Schizosaccharomyces pombe: one gene and its partners. Changing the gene in region 4 together with the main gene of any one other region gives a genetic interaction. Each region holds a gene or a part of one and is shown on either strand. Other genes may lie near its edges.

The links.
Region 1: mutations in rgp1 (region 4) and tas3 together harm fitness more than expected from each alone (negative genetic interaction), as found in Schizosaccharomyces pombe (2 studies listed by BioGRID).
Region 2: mutations in rgp1 (region 4) and bud20 together harm fitness more than expected from each alone (negative genetic interaction), as found in Schizosaccharomyces pombe (one large-scale study listed by BioGRID).
Region 3: mutations in rgp1 (region 4) and sap14 together harm fitness more than expected from each alone (negative genetic interaction), as found in Schizosaccharomyces pombe (one large-scale study listed by BioGRID).

Annotation. Positions count from the first base shown.
Region 1 is NC_003423.3:1,513,474-1,518,078, forward strand, and holds tas3 (RITS complex subunit 3), read right to left. Parts: upstream 2,707-4,605; 5' UTR 2,656-2,706; coding exon 1,006-2,655; 3' UTR 533-1,005; downstream 1-532. Other genes in the region: rpl4302 (60S ribosomal protein eL43), read right to left, coding at 1-47, 110-266; anaphase-promoting complex platform subcomplex scaffold subunit Apc15, read left to right, coding at 3,254-3,361, 3,429-3,731; RNA-binding protein Yme2, read left to right, coding at 4,195-4,605. UniProt on the Schizosaccharomyces pombe protein: Has a role in the RNA interference (RNAi) pathway which is important for heterochromatin formation and accurate chromosome segregation.
Region 2 is NC_003424.3:4,902,918-4,906,295, forward strand, and holds bud20 (zinc finger ribosome biogenesis protein), read right to left. Parts: upstream 1,317-3,378; 5' UTR 1,260-1,316; coding exon 1,183-1,259; exon of another isoform or gene 1,124-1,182; coding exon 826-1,123; 3' UTR 501-825; downstream 1-500. Other genes in the region: sst2 (AMSH-like ubiquitin-specific protease), read left to right, coding at 1-84, 129-300; yip11 (SMN complex subunit Yip11/Gem2), read right to left, coding at 2,591-2,782, 2,857-3,205, 3,311-3,378. UniProt on the Schizosaccharomyces pombe protein: Involved in pre-60S ribosomal particles maturation by promoting the nuclear export of the 60S ribosome.
Region 3 is NC_003423.3:2,049,438-2,052,491, forward strand, and holds sap14 (Pre-mRNA branch site p14-like protein), read right to left. Parts: upstream 1,332-3,054; 5' UTR 1,259-1,331; coding exon 1,015-1,258; exon of another isoform or gene 922-1,014; coding exon 821-921; 3' UTR 560-820; downstream 1-559.
Region 4 is NC_003423.3:3,854,181-3,860,540, reverse strand, and holds rgp1 (protein sat1), read right to left. Parts: upstream 4,323-6,360; 5' UTR 4,188-4,322; coding exon 3,845-4,187; exon of another isoform or gene 3,555-3,844; coding exon 2,245-3,554; 3' UTR 525-2,244; downstream 1-524. Other genes in the region: DNA replication factor C complex subunit Rfc1, read left to right, coding at 4,599-4,670, 4,739-4,857, 4,906-4,965, 5,026-6,360.

The DNA of each region.
Region 1 (4,605 bases), 2.3 Mb from region 4:
ACCAGCTAGAGTTTTAGAGCAACCTTTACCGGAACACTTCCAGATACCTATACATAAACGTTAGAAATAATTCCACACAAATCTAAAGATCCCAATGACTAATACATACCAGCAGCAGTGCGCTTGACAGTCAAACGGCCGCAGAAAGGACATTGGTAACGAGAGTGTTGCTGAACTTCGATTTTGCGAACATCACGACGCAAAGATGCACCGTAGCGTACACCGTACTTGCCAGTGACACCAACCTTTTTGGTACGCTTGGTCATTGTGTTGTTGACAAGTTACAAAATTGGTTTCAGATGTTCCTACTCGCAGGTGGATTACCGTGACTGTTTTCACTAATAGGGTAGGGTTGTTTGGTTAACACACTCTGCGTCGCTAATTTATTAAACGCATCTGTGTAGTTCACTAATTATTTGCAAAAGTTTATTTACTTTTACAATCATGTTAAAAGATTTACAGCATGCTTGAAATATAAATAAATTAAATTTACTATTTATATTTTTGTTCATTTAGTTTATCGGTTTGTCTTAAATGAAACTTGTAGCGACAAGTAAATATATATTAAACTAAGTAATAAAAAGATCAAATTATTAAATGAAAAGCTAAAAATTAAGGCGCTCAAGCAGTTATTTGAGAATAACAAAGTATCAATTTTCACTTTCTTCACTATTTTCAATATTAGTTTAAAAGGTGAAGCAAAACGTGTACAACAATCATTTAGGTCATAAACAGTTAACATAAGAGATATAAAAGACATTCTAAAATTGGAGAAGTAAATTCAGAAAAATTAATGTTTTAAAACTCATCGTGCCTTCATTAACAATGGGGATTAGTAATAGAACAAAAGTATGGAAGCATTAACAGAAGTGAACGATGAAACATATGTATGCGTGATTATTGAAAGAATTTGAAGCCTTAAAATATTCAAAGTTACTAGAATACATCATGAAAAATGAACATAGCTAACTTAGTACCAGGTGTACTTGAGTCAGTAAACTACTTTCATTTTTCGTTTTTATGCTCTAAAATTGAAGCCTCTTTCAAAATTTGGCTCGCAAAATCTAGAGACAAGTTCTTTCCTGTTACCAATTTATAAATCGAAGATCCTACCGCTTTCGCAAATGGTGTTTGTTTTTCGAGGTTGCTCAAAAACATAAGCTGCTCAGGCAAAGGTTGGTTCTCTTGAATTGGAAACTTTTCGGAAGCGGAAAATACCAACTGTAAGACTTGAGAAAAATCGATCAATTTATTATGATAATGGGGAATGACTTTTACTAAAGCTTCAGCGCAAGAACTATTGGTTTGAAAAAATGACAAAGATTTTAACCAATTAATGTAGAGATCATTTTTATCAGTAGTTAAGGAAGCTAGCGGGTTATGTGAATCAGAAGCGTTAAGCTTTTTAGTTGGTAGCTCATTTTCTCTGGATTCACGTTGACGATCAGAGGCTTTTCTTTTACGCGACGAACCTTGCATATTAAAATCATTGGCATTCCCTAAATGAAAATGGGCTCCATGGTCTGATAAATGAGTGCGATCTTCAAAATTTTGGTTGTATACATACGAAGATTTCTCCAAATGCTTACTTCGAGGCCCTGTATCTCTATTATCGTAATGTTCTCGTTTGGACCTATATGAATCTGAACGACTATCTGGATGGTAAGAATCATATCGTCGATGATGATTCGATGATCTTGAAACCTGAGTGTTTTTCGGTTTGTCGTAATCCTCTTGTTGTGAAGGCCTATTGAAATTGTCAAGATTTATACTCTCCGCCCATTCGTTTTTGTAATGTTTTGTATCATCTGTAGAGCTCCAAGAACCATTAGTTTCGCCCCAACCATCATCCAGGTTTCCCCATGAAGCTTCAGGATCATCGGGGGCAAACCAAGAGGATTTTGCTTGATACTTCGGACGAAATTGTGGATCGCTATTCGAATCAAGCTCCATAAACATCGACGTATCGGTATGATCAAGAGACTTAGAAGATTCACGAAATCCAGTAGAATTATCATCCCAGCCAACAGACTTAGAGTCAGAACTGCGAATATCATTTTCACGAAGTGAAATGCTTTCATGCAGTCTAGAAGATGACTCTATTATTGAATCAGAAGTAGAGTTGTCCCACGATTCAATCTCCATGCTTCCTGAGCTTTTATCTAAAAACTTGTTTCTGCTTTTCCGATGTTTGCTTTTTTTCGTTTCTATAGGTTTTTCAAATTCAGTAACGGAGTTCTTTCTTAGTTGTTTCGACTTCACTGGCTTCTCCTTTCCATCCGTAACGAGTGGAAACTCAACATTAGATGATGTGTATTTTTTTGAAGCTCTTACCTCCTTTGTGACTCCAGAGGAAGTATGGGTTGCCTTTGCTTTAGCAGGACTGTTCTTAAGTTGCTGTGGGAAGTCAACAGCAGCCAGCAATTTCCTCTGCGATAGCATTTCAGAGCGGCAGTAAACTGCTTCTTCAGCTAGTTCCTGCCTTTTTTCTCTCCTATTTTTTAGATTAGAAAGCCAATGTTCAGTGAATAATTCGTGAACTCGCTCTAGCGAAACAGTTGCTGATCGCCGAGATGTTCCATGATTTTCGGGAAAGTCTGAAATACAAGCTAAAAACGGTAAACTTGGAAGATATTTTTTGATTCCTTTCTCCATTAAAATCGTAGCTCAAATAGGATCAAAAGCTCTCATTAAATTATAGTGGTTAGGAGTAAGTTAAGAAGTTTGATGAGTATGTGTAACATTAGATAGTAAGGATATTAATCGAGATACATACAGGTATCTTTTTTCTGAAATTTTGTATTTGCAAATAATTGAATCCTAAAAAACCCAATTTAAAGTACACCTACGTGAAATTGAAAAGAGTAGCCAGTTTCAATTACTTAAATGCTGAAACTTGAACATGAAACGTTACGGAACATAAGTATTTCTTATCCCTTGACCTCTTCATTAAAGGAAAATAAGCATTTTGATACTCTTAGTTAATAATCTTGTTCAAGCGTTGCAATAAACATTTCAAATCAGTCAAAAATAAGAGGAGAAATAAGTTCAACAGCTTTTGTTAATTAATACGTGAACCAAAAATTAACACGAAAGTTAATTTTGTGGCTTCTCAGCATTGCTTTGTGTTTACATTTTTTGTTTATTGTACAGAACTGGGTTAGTAAATAACCCAGTCACCATAGTAACGCCTTTAGTCTTACAATACACCAGCTGATTCTTGAATACCAATATTTATTTGCAGCATAAAATCATGTCGTTTATGTCGTTGATGGCTAATACAGCCCATCAACTATGGTATCCTACGTCTTTTCCTTCTATGAAAGAATTGGAAAAGGAAGAAGTTAGACTGGAGACTCAGGTATGTTTGTTTACGATTTTCAACGAGTTTCTGTGCATGAGAAAAGTCTAACTTGAACGAATCTTAGGAGCTTGCAATTAAACAGTTTGGATTTCGCACTATTCGGCCCATTGGATTAAATAGGTCTATGCAAGAGCAGCTTGATTTGGAAGAGCAAGAGCGCGAAGAGGCTAATCAAGACACTGAGTTGGATGAAGAAGAATTGGGAAGTGGGAGCTTTCCTGAAGAAGGCGAAATGGACGATATGGATGGTGATAATGAAGAAGTAGAAGATCACGATATTGAAGAAGTCGACTTGGATGCTGATATCACAAATGCTGACGCCTCTGAATTTTACGAAGATATAAGTGAATACGGATTTCAAAATTAAGGCTTTAAAAATAATAATATCGAATCAACCATGATTGCTAAAGCTATGCTGCTGCATTACCCGATTGAAAAATGTATGTACAATCGAATTTATTCCCATAATTGTTTACGAAAAAAGAACTTGAAGATAATAACTGGATACACAACCTATGCATGCTAAAAGGCTATCAACTCTTTATGATTCAAATGACCCATTTGATTCTACTGTTTTGAATTTATTTAACGATGTCTAAATTTACAATGCTAATTTTATTTAGCATTTTTAAGCAATGTTCTTAAACCACTAGCCTTTTACATCATTGACAGATCCCATTTGGAATCCTGACTTACTGTTAACCGTATAACTTAAATAATCATTTTCTTGGCTGTTCGTTTTTGGTGTTTGAATATTCATATTGGAGTGCAACAAACCGTTGTGTATTTCTTAGACATCGTTGAAACTAATTTAAAGCCTACCCGAAACTATGAATTTGTTTCTATCTCGGTTCACGGGGTTACGAAATACTTCATTTTTGGGTCATGCACGACCGTTTATGTTTCCACGTCGCTATGCTCATTCTTTAGTGGCACATAATATTGGTCATATCAAGCTAGATCCAAATGAAGGTCTTTTCTTCGTGGATAATCTCGTCAATACTCCAACCTATTTCTACATTCAGCGATACACTGCGTTGCTCTTTCAGAACAACTTGAAAAAGCAGCTAAGTGCTGCTTTTCCAAGCTCTGATACAATGCAGTTGGAAGATATCATATTCAGATGGCAAGATGGAGGAGCATTTTTAAAAGTACGTTACAAGGAATTCCCACAAGATACAGAAGCGGTTTCAGAACACGTCCGTGAATCATTTCGAAAGCGTCCAGTTCGAACAATTTTA
Region 2 (3,378 bases), on a different chromosome or scaffold from region 4:
TAGCGTGGATTTGCATACTCATTGTTCATACCAGCTTATGCTACCTGAAGCTATTGCAATTGTTATGGCTCCTTCCAAAAATACGTAAGAAAAAAATTTTTTTTTCTACATATATTAACGACTTTTAGCTCTGGCATCTTCCGTTTATTAGATCCTGAGGGACTACAAACTATAGTCAAGTGTCGAAAACCTGGGCTTTTTCATCCACATGAGGGAAAAGTTTATACGATGGTTGCTCAGCCTGGGCATGTTAGAGAAATTAACTCGAAACTTCAAGTTGTTGATTTGAGGGTTAAATAGGTAAGGATGCAATAGTAACACTTCTTTTATTCTATTATTGGTTCATCTTACAGACGCCAGGCACTTATGAATTAACTAATGGTATTTGTAACATGGTAGTGGCTACGGAAAGTTCATTATAGGAAATGAATCTATGCGTCTAATGAAACGTTCTTTGATGAATTTGTTTTTTTACGAGGATTTTGTTAAATGATAGCGAATGCGTTATGAAAAAATTATCAAAAAAATTTTATTTATTTAAAACACCATGTATCCAAAGAAACCAAAATAACGTGAAGGTAGTTTGAGATGCTCACTCTTGAAGCTAGATTAACATCCAGTAACCAATGGTAAGGTATTAGTTGTAAATTTGTAATCCAAACATGGATGCAACTAAAATTACCAATAAACGCTGCTAATGATAATATAGCAGAATAAATGAGAATGAGACATATAAAAATCTGTTTAAATAAAGAGCATGCGCTACGAATATGGAACAAAAGCAAAAGTGCTGACTAACTTAGCATTCGTAAATGTGTCTCTAGTTTAGTCCGCCATGACAACGTTACTATTGTCAGCAAGCTTGGAAGCTACACTCTGTTTTGGCTGTCCAATATTCACCGCAGCTTCTGCTTCTTCTTGTGTATACGGCTCTTCACGCAAATTTTTTAACCTTCGTTTGTGAACCTTTCCCTTCTTATGCACCAGCAATGCTTGAGACGAGTCAAAGTACCGTGCACATTCAATGCAATAATGTTGACCTAAACCTGGCAAATCCGGATCTATAGGTAATTTATCAAATTTCTCAGACTCTGTTAAGTCATTGTGAATCTGATCTAAGTCTCTATTTGTCCAATTGTTAATTTACCAAACGATGATTGAATGACCATGAAATTTGCATACCTCCCATAAACACGAGTTCTAAACAAAGCATGATTTCCATTGCTATGATGCTTTCTTTTTCTGGCAACTCTTCCCATTGTCCGTCACTTCAAACAAACCCGTTTACCACAATTACAATGTTAGTTGCAAAGGATAAACTTTTTTAAGCGTAAACACATTCAATATCCAAACGGCGTAATGTGTGCTATATCGTATAGTGAAAAATAATTCTCAAATAATCTTATTTTCCTATCGTAGTTTGCGATAAGTTTAATAACGAGAAGGAAAGCCTCGTTATATAGTTGAAAAGCAAGAGAAATGTATTAGATATGTATTATTGATTGTTCTGAATAGCTCAAGTAGCGTAAATTTTTTAATAAATAAATATTCGTTCAAAATTTGGGAGAGCATGGTCAAAGCAAGTTGAAATGCATGCCTTTGAAATTGCGCTTTTTAAGCGACGATTGCTCCATCGTTTGACAAAACTTTGTAATTTAAGGGATGTTTAGCATCGGAATTTATTAGGGAAAATTGCTTTAGGCGTGATTCTTAGTACATGGCAACTATAGAAGAAATGAATTAACATTCAGTAGCTTTCTGGCTTTAACTGCCACTATTTCATCAAAGTCTCGACAAGTTGACGTTTAGTCGAAGGAAAGAAAGTATTCACGTAGCGAGATCAGAGTCCGCTTATCAGCAAGGAAAAAATTGAGCTCTCCATTTAGACTGCTATACTGAAGTGTGAGCAATTTTAGTGACATTTAGTTTTACAAAAGGAGCTTGATTGCTCGAACTCAAAAGATTCAATTAACCACGAAGGGGTTCTTGGCAGTGAGGTTGTAATTATTTCTTTTTTATTTTATCTTTATTTGACTTTTGTTTTTTCCCAAAGAATAATTGCAATGTTCAATTAGTTTTGAATTTGAAAAACCTCATATGGGTAAAAAATCACTCGGTCGAAAAAGACAGTAAAAATTTATTAGTTAATTTCGTAAGATGGGGCGCGAATTAAAGAAAGTTGCTAGTTATCATGTAATAACATAATTGAAACCCTCGATTCGACAAGTATGCAGACAGCAAAACGAATGCACGTACTAAACAAATAGTAAGCCATTTTTTGTAAAATGAAAATGTGAATCAATAAACAAATAACTTTGCCTATCTCAATTCAAACGTGTTTTTTTAAAATATATCTATCGATTTGTAATAGGCAAATTGTTTATTGCAGCTATCTCCAAGCTTGCTTAATCACATGTTCAAAGATGCAAAGCCCAGCATATCCGTGTAGCATATGTTTTCATTCAAAAAAGTAATAATATCCTAAAAACATATTTAAAACAAGCTATCAATTTTAATTTTTTCCCTATAAACAAACGTATGCTATATGAACATGTGTACCTAAATTTTTTTCGACCAAGATTTATAGACTCTATGTTTGAAAGAGATCTTTTTGTCCATATCGATAAACTAAGACTGCTTGAAGGGCAGATGCTGACATCTGCAGAGCAGGAAAAGAAGTATGCGTACTTCGTAAAGACTTGAGTACTGAACGTAGGGTCGATATATCTTCTCCATTCAAAAGCTCAGGAAGTTTATAACAAAAGCAAAAAATCCATTGACTCTAGAAAAATGTTAGCAAATTTTAGAATGAACAAAAATACACCAGCAAAGTAGCATGAGATCCTTGTTACCAACCTGTAAATCAATTGCGTCCTTTTCAAGCCAGCTGGACAAGCTTTCTAGGATCTCCAAAACAGTTGCCAAATCAACCACTGCTAATATGGCCCAACAAGGAGCTTTATGCTCAATATATACACGCCATTGTTGTAAATTTTTAGGTAAAATAGATGCGTCCAATGAAGAAGATTCCATATATTGCTCAAGCCTTTCCCCTTCTTTATCAATTATGTTTAGTAAGTATCGTAAAAACGGGTCAAAGCTTTTTTTGCCGGCCTCGATTTCCAATTTGCGAAGAGGAATGGTTTCTCTTGTTTCAGGCTCACGACGCGCCGCTACAAATGGAACTAGCTTGCGAGCTTCTTCTCTGAACTTGTCAGTAAAAAGCCCAATTATTGTTACAATGATTAGATTAAAGCATTCATGTTGCAAATTTCGATTTTCACAAAAATTCATATATAAATGTTCGTACCTCACAGTTGCTAAATAATCTAAACCATCAAGTGGTATATCATATTCCAAAGATTCTGAAGCACTATT
Region 3 (3,054 bases), 1.8 Mb from region 4:
GTTATGGTGCGGAGGTATGGCATTTTAATGTTGAGCAACGTTCAGTCGTTCGTCGTTGGCAAGTTCAAGATGGTGTATCTACCACTCATTTTTGTTTGGACCCATCTAATAAGTATTTGGCAATTGGTAGCAAGAGTGGTATTGTTAATATATATGACCTCCAGACATCCAATGCGGACGCTGCACCAAAACCTGTCACTACATTGGATAATATTACTTTCAGCATAAATAGTATGAGCTTTTCTCAAGATAGTCAAGTTTTAGCTATCGCATCTCGAGGAAAGAAGGATACTCTACGACTCGTTCATGTTCCCAGCTTTAGTGTGTTCCGTAATTGGCCCACCAGCGCTACGCCTTTAGGCAGAGTTACATGCCTAGCTTTTGGTAAGGGTGGTGAGTTATGTGTTGGTAATGAAGCTGGAAGGGTTGGACTTTGGAAACTAGCTCATTATGATTTGAAGTTTGTGCCAGATAAAATTATTAATTGGGAAATACGGTTGGGCAAATTTGGATACGTTTTATTAGGGATTCAAATCTTAATACTACATGTAGACGTTGTTATATTATAGATCAATGCATTACATTATTATTACTAAAAAGCTTTAAGCGAAATATAATAAAATTCAAGTCCTTATAGTACCTTTTTTATACCTAGGTTCGAAACACTAGTAAACGATTGTTTAATATGAGCCGATTCATTTTTCTGCTGTATGTTCTCTTCAACAGAATTTATAGAAAGAGGAAATCTATTACACGTTAATGGAGTCAATATCAGACTCCTAATTTGTTTGTTTTTTTTTGGTAAATAAATAGTAAACGTTCACTGAACACCGTATTTTTGCTTAACTTGTTCCAAGGCGGCATACCTTGCTGCCAAATCTTGACCATCAACCTTAGCTCTTTCAGGGTTATAATAATGCACTAAAAAAAAAGTTAACAAGAAGATATTAAAAAGCCGTTAGAAAGGAGAAATTAAAATTAATAGTAGCTAATACATTCCCTAAGATAACGTACCAACCAAGTATCTATCCATGAAGTTGTAGCCAGAAAGCTTTTCGCAAGCTCGACGAGCGTCTTGAACGTTTTCATAAACCACAAATGCAGTACCTCTTGTTTGAACCGTATTCCCCAGCCTTATTTGTCGTACAGGACCATACCTACCAAAAAGATCGTACATCTCTTCTGCTGTAATTTTAAAAGACAAGTTCTTGATGAATAGGATAGAATTGACTTCTTGATTAACTGTAGATGGAGGCATTTGTTATTTTTACGATCTTAACACTTTTTGTTAAAAAAATCAAATTTCGAAAAGAAATGATTTGGTTTGCTTTGGAAAGGATAAATATTCCTAAAAGGTTGGTTGGGATCAGATGGAAAATACTCGTTATCACAGCTTGGAGATTGATGTTGTATAGTCAATCCTATACGTGAGTTTAATTATAGTAGAAAAGATTGAGACATGAATATTAAAGGTTACGTTTCGTGGTTTGGACAAGAAGAGGTATATGCTGGGAAATCGAATGGACCAACAGATCGTAGACAAAACGGTTCAACCTTTTACCAAAATTTTCCTCTTCTTTTACCTGGTAACTCCAAATGTCAAATGCAATCCTTAGTTCATGAGATCTTTGATCAGAGTTGAAACTGACATGGCGGTGATTTCAATAGAGAGTCAATTTAAAGTGATTTTCAAATTATACATAACTAGTTGAAAATCATAAACATTTTTATTGGTATTTTTTGCTTCCTCGTTTGTCTATCCTACAGGAAATAGGTTTCAACTTTAAAACTGACAATTGCAAAGAATAGTTTGATAGTATAGTTGTATCATCAATTTATATTTTTCCTTATTTCTTTACTTTCTTTTAACTTATACTCTTGTTTGGCAATGGGACTTTTATCAAGGAAACAATTTGGTATCATTGATCTTTTGCCTACAGACCAACTAGTTCATCAATTTCTTCTCAAGTTCTTTTGAAATTTCTTAAATTTTTTATTTCCTGATCCCAGAAAACTACATCTGCAAAATTAATGATTCATTTTACGCTTCCAATGCCATGCTTTCGTATATAAGTGATAGCAACAGAGACACTAAAGGGAAAGGATAGCTTTGTTGAATATGTGGATCTTACTGTACTTCATTTTATCTAATTTGAAAGATTTCTCATTGCTCTTTGCTTACAACTGCTCTTAATTGAGAATGTGCTGCATTGCAAATGCTGTTTTGAAGCAATTTAGGAAATTACAGAAAAAAGAAACTATAGTAGCGTTTACAATTTCGAAAACTATACTAATAATTTTAACTAATGAAGCTAGCTATATTCATTATGATAAGCAGGAACTAAGTATTTAAAAAAGTAAATAATGTTGTACAAAAACGAAATAAACCAACTAACGTTAAAGTACGAAATTAATTGACTCATCTATAACCGTTCTTTATTTTTTTTATTTTTTCAATGAATAAAGCTATTGGCATTGATTGCTAATCTGGTTTGATATATGATATACATATTTTTCTTTTTGAAGTATTGAACAATTCTTTTTACGCTTCTAGTAGATTAATTACCATTTACTCTTTTTTTAAAAAAAATAAATAAATAAATAAATAAATAAAATTTTGTATATTCAAGTGGTTTCTGCTCATTAGCCTAATTCGCAAATAACTCTAGTTTAACATAAAATTTAACTTGACGAAATGCGAAAAATGTCTTGTACGACAAAATTTCAAGAGTTAGGATTGAGAGAAGAATTAAAAAACAATAGAACAATAAAACTATTGCACGTAACCCCTAAAACTTGTTGAAATTGGCAATGTTGATTAAATACCTATATCTGAATTAATTTACGAGAGAAAAAAACCTAAACGAAAGATTAATAAAAGCGCATATTTAAGGAAAAATTTTTCTATGAATAATTTCTCTTTTCATCCATTAATCGCCTTCTTGACCCATTTCTTCTCTTGTATTTACATTTTCATCTTAAGTAACACGTCACCTACATCAAGCATCCAGGTAGTCATCGTGGCAAGCATGAATTTGCTCTTTCCCCATATTC
Region 4 (6,360 bases):
CCTACTTGATTCTCCAAGTATCACCCGATCGCTGTATGCTCGCTCCTACTGCGACGAGAAGAAAATTGCATCTCTTTTGTCCGTCGATCCCATTCTCGATTTGCACACGTACGCACATATGATAAGGCATCGTTGCAGGTGACGTTGTAATGTCTGCCGCTTCCATCAGCACGATTTTTAGTCCATAGCATCCCTGTCCCTTTGTTGAGCGCTGCACATAAAGGAAAAAGAAAAACCGAATGAAATTTGATTTAATGTAACATACATGCTTTACTAATAAACGAAGAAAAGAGTCGATAATGTCAAGGGGAAATCTAAAAGAAAAGAAAATACTATACTATACTATACTATACTAGACTATACTTTACTTTACTAAACTATACTATTATAATGAAAAGGATCCTCAAGATTCATTCTTATACGGATGTATGTTGTTTCGATGTTTATAAATAGGAATTGGATGTTTAGTTGGCGAGTTATTTAGATGTTTAATGATAGTTATTTGTATTATTTAAATTATTTGTATTGTTAATATTATTTAAATTATTAGTATTATTTGTATTTGCATCTATTTATATGTTTAATGATAGTTATTTGCATCTATTCATACAACTATTTCAATCATTCAACAGGAATAAAACCATTTCCTTTTTATTCTATCCCTCTTTCTTCTTCTAATCTTCCTTTTCATTCTTTCTTTACTCTCTCTCCCTACTCAACTCTTCCCATATCTAGCGTTCCTCCTACCTCCAGCGTTTCTCCCAAGTCTAGCGTTTCTCTTATGTCTAGCCTCTTTTATATGTTTCGCTACCATCTATTTAGTGAAGTGCGCAAGAATTTGTTCTTTTCTTCTTTCTTTCTTTCTTTCTCTGATCCTCCTCCTTGTGCTCTTTCGTCCTTCTTGCAACGTGCTATTTTTCCCTACAAGAACCTCCCACTGCCCAAGGCCCATCAACAATCTAACATGACGCGATTGATAGGAGAATGACTTTTAGGTCTCGAAAGCCAAACCTTACCTCTTCGGAAGATGCGCGTAGAAAAACGCACCGTTTCCATATCACCAAATAGGAGAAAACACTATCGCGCCTTATTCACTCATTCCAAAAAAGTGTCGTCATCGTCAATGAGGGCCGCTGTCATCGACAAATAAGAGGTCAGTCATCTTTCAAGGCCAATTTGGTCAAACTGACTCGACTGGTGCCGCAAGATGAAAAAAAAAAACACCGATGTCCATTAGAGCCCATGTGGGGCAGTGCCCCCTTGAGAAAACTGACTTCACCCCTACCCTGAAAAATGACGTAGTATCAGGGCGTTCCGAAACGGATATCGAGTCAATTTCCTTGGCATTGACGGTATGGACAAAATGGCAATTTTAAGAAAAGTCGTACCAAAACCATCTGATCTTCCCAATCACCAATGATCTCAATTTCACGTCACCTCTCACTGCACGGCGGTAAAGGAAGGAACGGGGAGGTTTTTTCCGAGATTGGCTCACTTGCTCACATTGGCAAGATTGGCTTCGAGAATAGCATAACCCAGTATAACACACTTAAAATAGAAATAGCATTGTGTAACGAAGAAAGCCAAGGCTGCGTTAAGACAGGGTTAGGCCAAGTCAGGTCAGACAAGGAAGGGGGGATACACATACAACATACCTTTTCCATTCCTTGCTTGCTGGCTTACTACTTCCATTGCAAAAACTGCTACTACTGCATAAAACGTCACTTGTCTGCTAATAATGCATACAAAGTTACCGAGAGATTGGAAATTTGATATTGTATGATAGATTGCATTCGTGACACTCAGTGTCCGAACCCCTAAATGCATAGAATGAAATGACATGATTGATATCAAGCATCAGCGCAAAAAAACACGCACCAGAGCCAGCGCTACAAGAAAGCATCGTTAGGGAGCCAGGGGAGCCTAAAGTACCCAAAAGGAGAATTGCGAAATCAAGGGAATTGTCGTTATCTTAAAACTAAGCGACACTTTCAATCATCCATCGTTCTTTCGTTCTTTCTCTCTCACAAACAATCGTTATATCCTTTTTTCGTGGCTTCCCACTTTACTGCACAATGAGGGGAGTACGAGAGAGAGCACGGTGCGGTAATGGATTGAATTTTCAAAATGGAAAGCAAAAGCGAAATCATCCATTCTCGCAGACGTTAGCAAGGTTGGAGTATGAGCTGGTTAAAATTTTTTGAGACTTGATTTGATCAACGATCGGATTACTCAATTGTTTGGCTAAACCGGTTGCATCCCCTCCATCCCTCCTTCCATTCCATCTTCCATCCACACAACTCGCTTTTCAATTCGAATCGGCAAAACACATTGAATCGTCTCTGCCGCAAACGTTGTCGGTGCATGCTGGATTTGCATCTCTCGCGAATTCGTTAGCGATGCCATTCGCTTGTGCTGACCGCTCTCCCTCCCTCCTTTCTTCTCTTCCTCCTTGCTTACCTCTTCGCTCAATCTACCTTCACTCACCCTCTGTACTTCTTCACTGTATCTCGATCGACTCGGACTCTGCACCTCTTCACTATATCGGGGATGCGCCGGTCCCTGCATCTCACGTTTCTTGTTCACCGCCCTTAACAATTCCACCCGCAAAAAGTGTTCCACTCCAAATTGCTGTGTTTCAAATGTTTCCGGACATTCCTCCGGCACAACCATCGAAGCGCTCATGTTTTCCAACTCAAACACTCCCCGTGTAATTCTACACCACACTTTTCGCGTCGCCCTCTCCGTCCCTACGCTGTTGCGTATACGGATGTCTGGCACAATACGCTCCACACTTTCAAGTTGCATATGCACTTGTCGAACCATCGCGTCCAGTCCTTCTAGCTCAATCATCATCATCTCTCCTGTCCGATATCTGCTTTTGCTCAAAAGCAATCGACATAACACTTTTTGTTTGCTTGTAATCTCAAACCTCGTGGCCATTGGTTGCTTGGATTCGAGTTTTTTTAACAACGCAATTTTTTCTTCATCCTCTTCCTCTAATACTTCTTCATTGATCTCTGACCTCATTCCATGATCTTGGAATTCTCCTCCTCCCTCTTCATTAGACTCTCCATCAAGTAGCTTTTTTATGTGTTGCTCGTATTTCTTTTTTTGCTTCTCTTCCTCCTGCGCATCCTGCGAAAGTCGTATACCGTTTTTACCGAATTGCCTACGTGCTTTCTCTGCTGAAACCTCTTCAATTTCTGCCGCATCTGTTTCAATAATCGGTTTGGATAAATCTGCAAACAGCTTCGAGGATTGTCTGTTTCCCGAATTCTTTCCGAGTGGCAGTTCAGGTTGCTGTTGAACGTTGGGTACTATAGTAATTTCAAATTCATGCTCTACACAAGCATTGTTGGTAGCTGATTGGACTCCTATGACCAGTGCGTGTTGAAATCGAAAGGCCAATCCTTTATATGTAGGTGCTGTTCGAAGGGGAATTCTTCGCTTCAACCGAAAGCATTTTTCCTCTCCAGGAGAAAGCGTGATATCGACTCCTAATATATCTGGACGAGTCAGTAGCACTGGAATGGCATTTTCCTGCTTTTGTTCTTTATCGGTTAGTATTCATGCTTAAGCAGTAGGTTGCAGTAAAAATAAGAGTAACCATCTTCCAAAAAAAAAAAAAAAAAAAAAAAAAATTGAATAAAGAGTAAATATGTTTCAAATGAATTACAAAACTCTTCCCAGACAACCTTTCTGTAATTCGTCAATTGACTTTATGTCCACCTCACCGTATAAGCACTCTTCCGAGCTATATCTTCCCTCCAAATGTAAGCCAATTGAGAGATTTTTTTTACCAAGTCTTTATTTCCTTTTGCACCCTTTCACCATTACATACCTGAGGCCTCTGTCAATGTACTTGCTTGTTTAACTCCAAATAAATTTCCAATCATCCCGTTCAGAGTATTAATAACAGAATAACTGCTGGATACCTTGGGAATATGTACTAATCCGCTCATTGTCCTTTTGTTTAAGAGCCCCTGCCTCTGAACCTCATCGAATTCTGTAACGCGCACCAGTACATAGTCAAGGTACATTTCACCATGGATAGAAGCATAGCACAAAAGTAAATTTACATCTTCTGAACTCCTTAGATTCGTGAATTTTACAATGCACTCAAAGTCAGTTCCGGATTGAACTACATTCACTGGCATGTACATTTGCACATCACATTCTGTCATTGTCGAACACCACTAAACTCTTATATTCGATAATTTCTCAAGCCGCTGGCTTCAGCTTTACCTTAATAATAACCATACAACTTGGATTTCTTCATTCGTATTGACGAACGTTTATTAGTCTCGTAACAAATGCACAATCAAAATAGTACTGTAAAAGAGCCCACTTTTCTTCCTCCACGACTCATTTTACGAGATTAAATAACGAACGCCCACAATCAATTTTTTACACTCTCCTTACTATTCCTTAATTTACTCATTTACGAATGTTTTAACGAAGCTTTGTTAACTCTCTGCTTTTGGCAAATTGTCACATTCCTTGCTATTGTCGCCCAATATACATACATACACTGCTTTTTTGGAAGTTAGACAGTAGCTTCTCAGGAATTGGGTAATTGTTATTCATCGTCGGAAATGAGTAATTCTGACATTCGAAGCTTCTTTGGAGGAGGGAACGCTCAAAAAAAGCCAAAAGTCTCACCGACTGTATGTTTGTTTCTTCAATCAGTCAAATTTGATAAGCTAGTCATTCATTTTCTAACGTCTTTGTCTAGCCTACTTCCCCAAAACCAAAAAGGAGTTTGAAGAAAAAAAGAATCGTTTTATCAGATGATGAAGATGGTACAATAGAGAATTCAAAAGTTCCTGCATCCAAAAGCAAAGTGCAAAAACGGTTCGTTTAATTCGGGTTATCAGTTTATATTTCTAACCCTCCAACTAGTAATGAGTCGGAAGATATTTCCCATTCTTTGCCATCCATTGTTCATGAAGACGATAAACTGTATGTTTATTTTACTTTTACCTCATTATGCGTTGTTCGCTAATTTGAATTTTTGTTTAGTGTCGGTTCAGATGGAGTTTCAACTACACCTGATGAGTACTTTGAACAACAGTCTACTCGGTCACGTTCTAAACCGCGGATTATCTCCAATAAAGAAACTACTACTTCCAAAGATGTCGTACATCCTGTAAAAACAGAAAATTTTGCCAATGACTTGGATACCACTTCAGACAGTAAGCCAGTTGTCCATCAAACTAGAGCTACACGTAAACCTGCTCAACCTAAAGCAGAAAAATCGACAACTTCAAAGTCAAAATCTCATACCACAACTGCGACAACTCACACAAGTCGTTCTAGCAAGTCGAAAGGCTTACCTAGGTTCTCAGACGAAGTTTCCCAAGCCCTCAAAAATGTTCCTTTAATTGACGTAGACTCTATGGGTGTGATGGCTCCAGGTACTTTCTATGAACGGGCGGCTACAACACAAACTCCAGGCTCAAAACCCGTCCCTGAAGGCAATAGCGATTGTCTCTCGGGAATTAGCTTTGTTATTACAGGAATTCTAGAGACTTTAACTAGACAAGAGGCTACAGACCTGATCAAACAATATGGTGGAAAAGTGACAGGTGCACCTTCTGTTAGAACAGACTTTATTCTCTTAGGTGAGAATGCTGGTCCAAGAAAAGTGGAAACAATTAAACAACACAAGATTCCTGCTATTAACGAGGATGGACTCTTCTATCTTATAACTCATCTTCCTGCTTCAGGAGGAACGGGTGCTGCGGCTCAGGCTGCTCAACAGAAAAAGGAACAAGAAGAAAAGAAAATCCTTGAAACTGTTGCGAGAATGGACGATAGTAATAAAAAGGAATCACAACCTTCACAGATATGGACTTCAAAATATGCGCCAACTTCTTTAAAGGATATTTGTGGTAATAAGGGTGTCGTTCAAAAACTTCAAAAGTGGCTACAGGATTACCACAAAAACAGGAAGTCCAACTTTAATAAACCTGGACCTGATGGTCTGGGTCTATACAAAGCCGTATTACTCTCTGGTCCTCCAGGTATTGGCAAGACGACTGCTGCTCATTTGGTAGCAAAATTAGAAGGTTACGATGTTTTGGAACTGAACGCTAGTGACACTAGAAGCAAGCGCTTGCTAGATGAGCAGCTGTTCGGTGTGACAGATAGTCAATCACTTGCCGGCTACTTTGGCACAAAAGCTAACCCCGTTGACATGGCAAAGTCCCGACTTGTACTCATTATGGACGAAATCGATGGCATGTCATCGGGTGATCGTGGAGGCGTTGGTCAGTTGAATATGATTATTAAAAAAAGCATGATACCAATTATTTGTATTTGCAATGACCGTGCTCATCCAAAGCTGCGGCCCCT